Linked DNA regions of Xenopus tropicalis. The protein of the gene in region 1 interacts with the protein of each later gene in a pairwise test. Links are inferred from orthologs where the notes say so. Each region holds a gene or a part of one and is shown on either strand. Other genes may lie near its edges. The genes, in order: mypn and ankrd1.

Region 1 (3,829 bases):
TAAGCTATGCGTGTCTTTGATGGATAGGATATACAGTATCAGATTTATCACATGGATATCACATGCAAAGTAAGGCAGTAGTGCTACCCACTGAGCCACTATGATGCCCACAATGCAGCTCTGTGGGTTACTCTACAGAAAAAAGATGCTTAATGTTAATTAATGTGGAGTCAACACATGCAATGGGGTCTACAATACAGTAATACAACATATATGATACAAAGCATTACAATTATTCTCACTGTATACAAATATGTAATGCACTTTTCCTTAAAAGTATGGGTTCATACCCACAAAAGTGTAAGGCATGTTGTGTTCCATATATAAAAAATATATTAACGGCATTATTATTATGGTGTATATAAGTAAAATCTGTAAATGGTGCAGCCATCAAATTGGTCATCCACAGCCAGCTTTAAAAATGTCCATAAATAAAACAGTCAGTTAAAATCAGATTCCAAAGTGATTCTGTAAGGTAGTGTTTTTGTACATTTTTGTGCAGACTCCTCTGTCTACAAGGACCCATGAATGAACAAAGAAAGAAGAGGGGTGTGCTCCCATAGCATAAAATGAATGGTACAAATTTCTTCAATAAAAGTAATACAAATGCTTTAGAAATACATTTAGCTTGTGGCAATATTAGACCAACACATTTAGTCATTATTTGACTTCCTCAGGGGCATATTATATTTATATATATATATATATATATATAGGGAATAAAGGGAAAAAAGGGAACTGCACGTACAGGTCTTAGGACGATAAAGGTGATTTTTATTGGCAAAGGTGAACTAATGTTTCGGCTGTAGCACCAGCCTTTCTCAAGGTCATCAAACAATGACAATTTCCCACCATGCACAGTATTTATGGTTTTCTTTCACTTGTTGGTGTAAGCTTGAGAAAGGCTGGTGCTACAGCCGAAACGTTAATTCACTTTTGGCAATAAAAATCACCTTTATCATCCTAAGACCTGTGTGTGCGGCTTCCCATTTTTTCCCTGTGTACTTGTTTGAACTCTGCACCCAGGCATTTTATTTTCTTTTTCGTGAGTGCCAGATGTTCCTGTTTGATGTGTATATATATATATATATATATATATATATACAAGGAAGAGTGGAGCACACCCTATAAAAGTTCAAATGCCCTGGGTGCTGGCTAAAATGAGACAATATATGAACAGAGAGCCGCACACACAAGGACTTAACGATAAAGTGAAAAAATTTTATTCAAAAAAAAATCCAACGTTTCGAGTACTAACTGTACTCTTCCTCAGGGACAAACCACTTTTCAGTCCTAGTAAAAGGACTGAAACGATGGACACAATAAATCTCACCACTTGCATTTAAGAAATCTTTATTTTCTTTGCCTTTTTGTGGAAATCCTACGAGTGCCGTCATTCTTGACCTGTTATATATATATATATATATATATAGTATAAAAAAGACCAGCAACTCCGGGATTTCTTGTGAAAAATCAAAACATGTATTCAAAGTAGCATAAACAGCTTTTTCCCCGAGAAAGATGAATCACAACAAAATGCATACTATTAAAGATTGGACATGCATTACTTTTATTGAATACATTTGTGACATTGATTTTATGCTATGGGAGTGTGCCATCTTCTTTCTTTGTTTATGTTGTGTTCAATGGTCTGGTTTAAGTATCTTGAAAATTAATTAAATGCAAGATTTTATGGAACACTGTGTATTTAGGGCTGCCTTGCAGTGCTGCGGTCCTTGGTTTAATCCAACCACTGCACGGAGCTTGGCATTTGTCCTTGTGCTTGCATGGGTTTCTTTTGAGTACTCTGTTTTCCTCCCACACTCCAAAAACATACAGGAAGGTTACCTGGCTTCTAATTAAGTGTATGTAAAGATCCTTAGATTTAGGGTTGCCACCTTTACCGGTGACAAAACCTGGACAAAGGAGGCAGCTGATGAAAGGGGGACAGACAACTAACATTTGAAATCAGGAGCAAGGCTGTGATGTCATTGGGCATAATTAAGATGATATTTATCCAGCTTTAACAAGTCTAAAACCCAAGATTCTGTGGGATAAGCTGTAAATGTATCCACTTTATGCTACAGTCAAACATAACCTCTGAAATCCACATAGGTAGTCTTGAACAACACAGAATGTGCAGTACATCATAGCTAATTTTACTACCTTTCTTCTCTTAGAATTTCACAGTTTATTAGGCTTTTGTCAGACACTGGCACATTCTTTATTCCTATTAAAATGAATGGTGCACTACGAGAGCCAGACAGAAACTGTGCTACACTTAGTCAGTATTGTGGCTTTGGCCTAAATAGAATCTCTGTCAGATAAATACTTAAATGTCTTGTTCATATTTTACAACAAAAATAACAACAAAGTGAAGAATATTTCATGCCTTTTGTTAGCTTGTACAAGAAAAATATCATTTAGAGGAACATGGTGAAACCCTGGTGTGTAACATAAAGAGCTAGCAGGTATATTCACATTACTGAGCTTATCTGTCTTTTCGTCAACAGCATGCAAGACGAGAATATAGAAGCTTCTTCGTCTATTTCTCAGATTCTGAGAGAGAACTATAGTGCTGAAACAAGAATACACCAAGAGAGCAGTCTATCAATCTCTTCATCTCATTCTTATCGTCATAGTGTCTGCTCCAGTAGAGTAGACGACTTATGCGAAGCTGATGACCTCACTGATCTTTCTGCTTTTCTGAGCCAGGAAGAATTAGACCAAAGTGTACATTTGGCAAGACAAGCCATTGACCAAGATGGGAACCAGAGAGAGGTACAGATTGATATTAAATGTCCGCCGAGAGAACTAAAAAGACAGTCTAGGCCTGTTGTAAGACCACCAGTAACCAGACAGAGCATACCAACAGTCAATGACAGAGAACAAGAGTTAAATTTTTATCAGGGACATGTCATAAAAGGGTTGAAAAACTCTACAGAGGAAACGAAAGATTTGAAAAAGCCACAGAGAACCACTCCATATGGAACTGAAACTGAGTCAAAAAAGGAATTTTTGAATAAAGCTGCAGATTTTATTGAGGAGCTATCGTCACTTTTCAAAGCCAATAGTTCCAAGCGAATTAGGCCAAAGACATTAAAAAATCGGAGGAGCAAACGTGACTTAAAAAGTGGGACACTTGAGCAGGACATCTCTAATTACACTTGCCAGTTAGAAAATCGAGAGAGGCCTCACTACACGCCAGAAAAGACAGAAATAAACACTACTATCTCTGAGGAAGCTAATAGTTTGGAAGCAGTGGATCCAGAATGTGAAAAGGAGTCTTTGCAAGTTGAAAACGATACCCAGTCTTCCTCTTTTTATTTTGAAGAGCCAGTTGGGCGACCTCCAAATTTTATTCAGAAATTAAAAAGTAGGGAAGTTACTGAGGGGAGCAAAGTGCAGTTGGACTGTATTGTGGTTGGATTTCCACCACCTGAAGTAAGGTACATATTCTTATTTTATATTTCCATTTCATATTATTGGGGGCAGTTGTATTTAGTCACCTGTTTTTAAAAAAAGTTGAACAATTGGATGTGCAGACGACTGACAACATTGATTACATCAATATTAAAAAATGATCTTTTGTATATAAATGATAACAATGGTTTAATGGACCTTCATTTGAGCTCTGGCAAGAAGGCGGGCCACACTTAATTATACATGCAAGAGGATGCTACAATCAGAATTTGCAGGCATCTACTAAAGGGACTCTATTATGCAATTTTGACTGTTATCCAAATTTACTTTATTACACTATAACCAGTTGGACATAGTACTGTCTATGTGATTACAAATTCCAGTCCAGGGTCAGTAATAATTTATG
Region 2 (4,283 bases), about 1.7 Mb from region 1:
TCCTTATTGGAGAAAAAAACAATCCTTTTGGGTCTGTTTAAATGATTTCTTAGCAGACTTAAGGTATGGTAATCCAAATTACTGAAAAACATGTGCCCCCAAACCAGGTAGTTATTTTTGAATTCCTGACTTGGAGGCAAGTTTTGGTTGAATAAAAACAAGATTTCCTACCAAATAAAGCCCCCTGTAAGCTGATAGGGTGCATAGAGGCTACCTAATAGCCAATCTTAGCCCTTATTTGGCACCTCCATGAACTTTTATGGTGCTTGTGTTGCTCTCCAAGGTTTTTTACATTTGACTGTGGCTCACAAGTAAGAAAGGTTGGGGATCCCTGTTCTAGCAATACTCCCTGCATAGAGGCTCCCTAATAGCCAATGTTCATAGAGGCTCCCTAATAGCCAATGTTCATAGAGGCTCCCTAATAGCCAATCTTAGCCCTTATTTGGCACCTCCATGAACTTTTATGATACTTGTGTTGCTCTTCAATTCTTTTTATATTTGACTGTGGCTCACGAGTAAGAAAGGTTGGGGACCCCTGTTCTATTTAAAATAGATATATATTTACAAATTAATTGCAAACTTGTTTTGTTCATAAAATGTTAATGTTAACACTAGAATTTCCCCTTTTAAATGTTAAATGTATTGAAGATGAACTTAGCATTTTTTATTCAGGGTATCTGGTTGTTTGCTACATTGTAGCGTACAGCTGCTTAGTCAATTATTGCTTGAATCAGACGAGCGACAAACCCAATGATATTATTCTGACCATGAAAAGAAATAAATACAATTCCCAGACAGAAGTGACCGTAACCCTTCCTAACAGAGATGGCCACAGCTCCTGCCTCCCTTCCAGCATCATTTAGTCATTTCAATGTCAGCAGATAAATACGGTGCATGCCCAACACACAGCTGTCATACTGGTTCAGATAGAATGACTAGCATTGCTGAGCTCTTCAGTCATTGCCAATGGAATGGCTAGCTCATGTTTCATACCAATTGGGATATGCAATGTGGTTAGCCTATGGGATATTTTTTATCATAAGGCCCATGCTGCCCTCCCCTTCTAGCTCCCCACATGACACAAGATCTGGCTAGTTAACATGTCTGGAATGACAACGCACCTATCTCTGTCTGTGAGCTAGGTCCGTAGCTGTTGCTGTCCCAGGTTGGAATATTACCTCATTCTCCTTTCTCCGCACACACTATAAAAGCTAACCTGGAGGGGGGTTGTGAGAGCAACAACTTGTCTACCTAAGGTTAACATCAGAAAGGATACTTCAACTTCTCACTGGCAAAAATGTTGCTGAAAATGGAAGAAATGGTAGGTTATAGATTTTTTTTTCTTTAATTAAGACATTCTGGCAGTTTAAAGAACAAATATTAGTCAATAGGTTACATAACAAGGTTAATATAACCATGTGTGTGCCTTTTACTAACCATATAGTAATGGGACTTATTATATAATAAGTTTATCACCATTTAATTCTATTGTATAGAGCTACAAGTATCTAATTAAAAAAATATCTGTACTGGTACATTCCCTATTTCAATTAACATTAACTTTTTTTTGGAACATTTTTAAGAAAACATTAGGTAGATGTTTAATTTCAAAGGTAATTTGTTACTTGTGACAGAAAGTTTTCGATATGTTCTCACCCTTCCAGTAATGCAAGTTATCAAAATTATTTCCACTTGGAATCCAATCTCTTTGGGAACAAATGGCAGCCTCTGTTACTCCTGCTAGCTGATGCAACATGAACATCTGTCGCACAGCTCAGCTTCAGAAGCTCACTGCTTTATTACATTATTATTTCACGTCTTTGAAATTTTTATTTCCAGGAACATGTTAATATTTTAATTAGTGATGTAGATGAATCAGCATTCATTGTAAGCAATGATTTCATTCTCTGGAATAATCATAAATGGTTGTGACAGCTGTCGTAGGATAGTCCCACATTTATAGGAATCCATTTTTCATGCAATACTTTCATGTAAATGGATATTACTCTATAGTTTCTTGGTTTAAAAATCACTGGTCAGGGCTTTTGTAGGGGTTTGTCTTAAGTATAAGATGGAGTGTGTGAATTGTAGGCATTTTAAGCTGGAAGTCATAGCAGATATCTGAGGGACACGATCTTTAGCTTCACTGAAGGTTCATGGAAGCCTATTTCGGGGGAACTTGATTCTTTATGGACAGTACCCATGACTATATATTATTGATTCATGTACAATGAGTGATGACAGGAGCAACTGTTAATCTACACATTCAAGCACAAAGACTGAATGCCATCTCGTTGTGGGCAACTCTACCAATATATTGCTTTAACTGTTTTTAATGATCATACTTTGCTAATGTATTGGAACTTTCAAGTCACTGATACCCCTTTTTTTTTAAACAGGTACCTGAAAAAAAGAATGAAATGAAGAAGACTAGTAATTTTGTAGCTGGTGTTTCAAAGAATGGAGAATATGAAACAGCTGTAGCTCTAGAGAAACAGGAGGATCTGAAGACCACATCGAAATCCCTTATTGAGCTGGAAGAAGAGAAACAAATAAAGGAAAAACAGCTAAAATCAGAGGTGTGTTTTGTTGGGAAACCACAGACAGCCTTTTTAGTGGTATCATTGAATTGCATTTCGGTAAATTATATCTCAATCAATAAGCTATACATTCTTGAAAATGTGGTATTGAGATAGACAGCAGGTTACATTGCTCAATAAAACACTCCCATTCAACATAAGTTCTCTTAATGCAAGGGCACAGTTATTAATACACAGTTAATAATGCAGAAACCTTTAATTACAGCCCTCTGCAACACGGGTTTTATTTGCTTCCTGAATCACTATTTCAGTGGTGATGGAGATTATACAAACCATTGGCAGATATGGTGTTACACTGCCAAAACATTTCCCTTTAAAACAGGTTAAGACATAACCCATTGAACTAATCACAATGGGAAACTCAGACTGTCTACCCCCAAAACATATACAACCTTGGAGATAATTCTAGACTTTGAACTGATTAGGAATTTATTTTTTAGCACAAAAGCCCTGATTATGTCCTTGCTCTAAAAGTAACTTTTCTAAAAACTTGAGAAGCGACCCTTGTTAAATTTTAATTGTCCCTACTAGTATTTGGTGAATTCTTCCATCCAGTCTGATATTGTCTAAACCAGGGATCCCCAACCTTTCTTACTCATGAGCCACAGCCAAATGTAAAAAGACTTGGAGAGCAACACAAGCACCATAAAAGTTCATGGAGGTGTCAAATAAGGGCTAAGATTGGCTATTAGGTAGCCTCTATGCACCCTATCAGCTTACAGGGGGCTTTATTTGGTAGTAAATCTTGTTTTTATTCAACCAAAACTTGCCCCCAAGTCAGGAATTCAAAAATAACTCCCTGGTTTGGGGGCACTGAGAGCAACATCCAAGGGGTTGGTGAGCAACATGTTGCTTCTGAGCTACTGGTTGGGGATCACTGGTTTAAACATATAAGATACTTCCAATATTAAATATAATATTTCTTTGTCTCAAGCTCCTTAAGAAAAAACTAGAGGAACGGCCAAAGTTGGATAATTTGGAAGATCTACAAACAATTATTAATCTGAAAAAAAGAAAACGAGTCAAAAAAGTGCATGTTCCTGTTGTCAAGGAACCAGAGCCAGAAGAAATTGTAAGTCTGTTAAGGAACTGTTTAATACTAAAAGCTATGGAGGAGAGCAGGCACATCTAATACAAAAATGTTTTGCTTTACTCAGATTGAAAATGTGGATCAGACAACATTCTTCAAAGCAGCATTGGATAATAAAATGCCAGTCATTGAAAAATACTTAGCAGATGGAGGAGACCCAAACACATGTGATGAGGTAGCCCTTATTTCTGCTTCATACAACTGAAAATGATGTTGTTGTTGACTTTAATAACTACTTGTAATGAGGTAACATGGGATCCATTGTTTCCTGTGGGTGTGTCAGCTCCACATTTGTTTTAGTTCGTGTAGCCTGCCCCAAAGAAAACTATTCTATCTATTTTCAACCTCCTACAATAAGTCAGTTGAAGTGTAATCATAAATGAGCCTTCTTTACATGTTGCCTAAGGTTTGAAGCAGCTGTTCAATACTGAAACATCCATTATAATATCGTTGCATTTCTCTTTCAGTATAAGCGCACAGCTCTGCACCGAGCCTGCTCAGAAGGACATACTGACATGGTGGAGAAATTAATTGAAGCTGGTGCGAATATTGAATTTAAAGATATGGTATGTTGGAATTTCCTGTTATTAAAT

Evidence for each region.
Region 2: the proteins of mypn (region 1) and ankrd1 interact in a two-hybrid assay, tested with the Homo sapiens proteins (2 studies listed by BioGRID). The link is inferred for Xenopus tropicalis from reciprocal best matches to the Homo sapiens genes MYPN and ANKRD1.

What each region holds. Positions count from the first base shown.
Region 1 is NC_030683.2:38,507,523-38,511,351, reverse strand, and holds part of mypn (myopalladin), read left to right. Parts: intron 1-2,513; coding exon 2,514-3,449; intron 3,450-3,829. UniProt on the Homo sapiens protein: Component of the sarcomere that tethers together nebulin (skeletal muscle) and nebulette (cardiac muscle) to alpha-actinin, at the Z lines.
Region 2 is NC_030683.2:36,842,701-36,846,983, reverse strand, and holds the start of ankrd1 (ankyrin repeat domain-containing protein 1), read left to right. Parts: upstream 1-1,281; 5' UTR 1,282-1,297; coding exon 1,298-1,321; intron 1,322-2,399; coding exon 2,400-2,579; intron 2,580-3,534; coding exon 3,535-3,672; intron 3,673-3,757; coding exon 3,758-3,865; intron 3,866-4,157; coding exon 4,158-4,256; intron 4,257-4,283. UniProt on the Homo sapiens protein: May play an important role in endothelial cell activation. May act as a nuclear transcription factor that negatively regulates the expression of cardiac genes. Induction seems to be correlated with apoptotic cell death in hepatoma cells.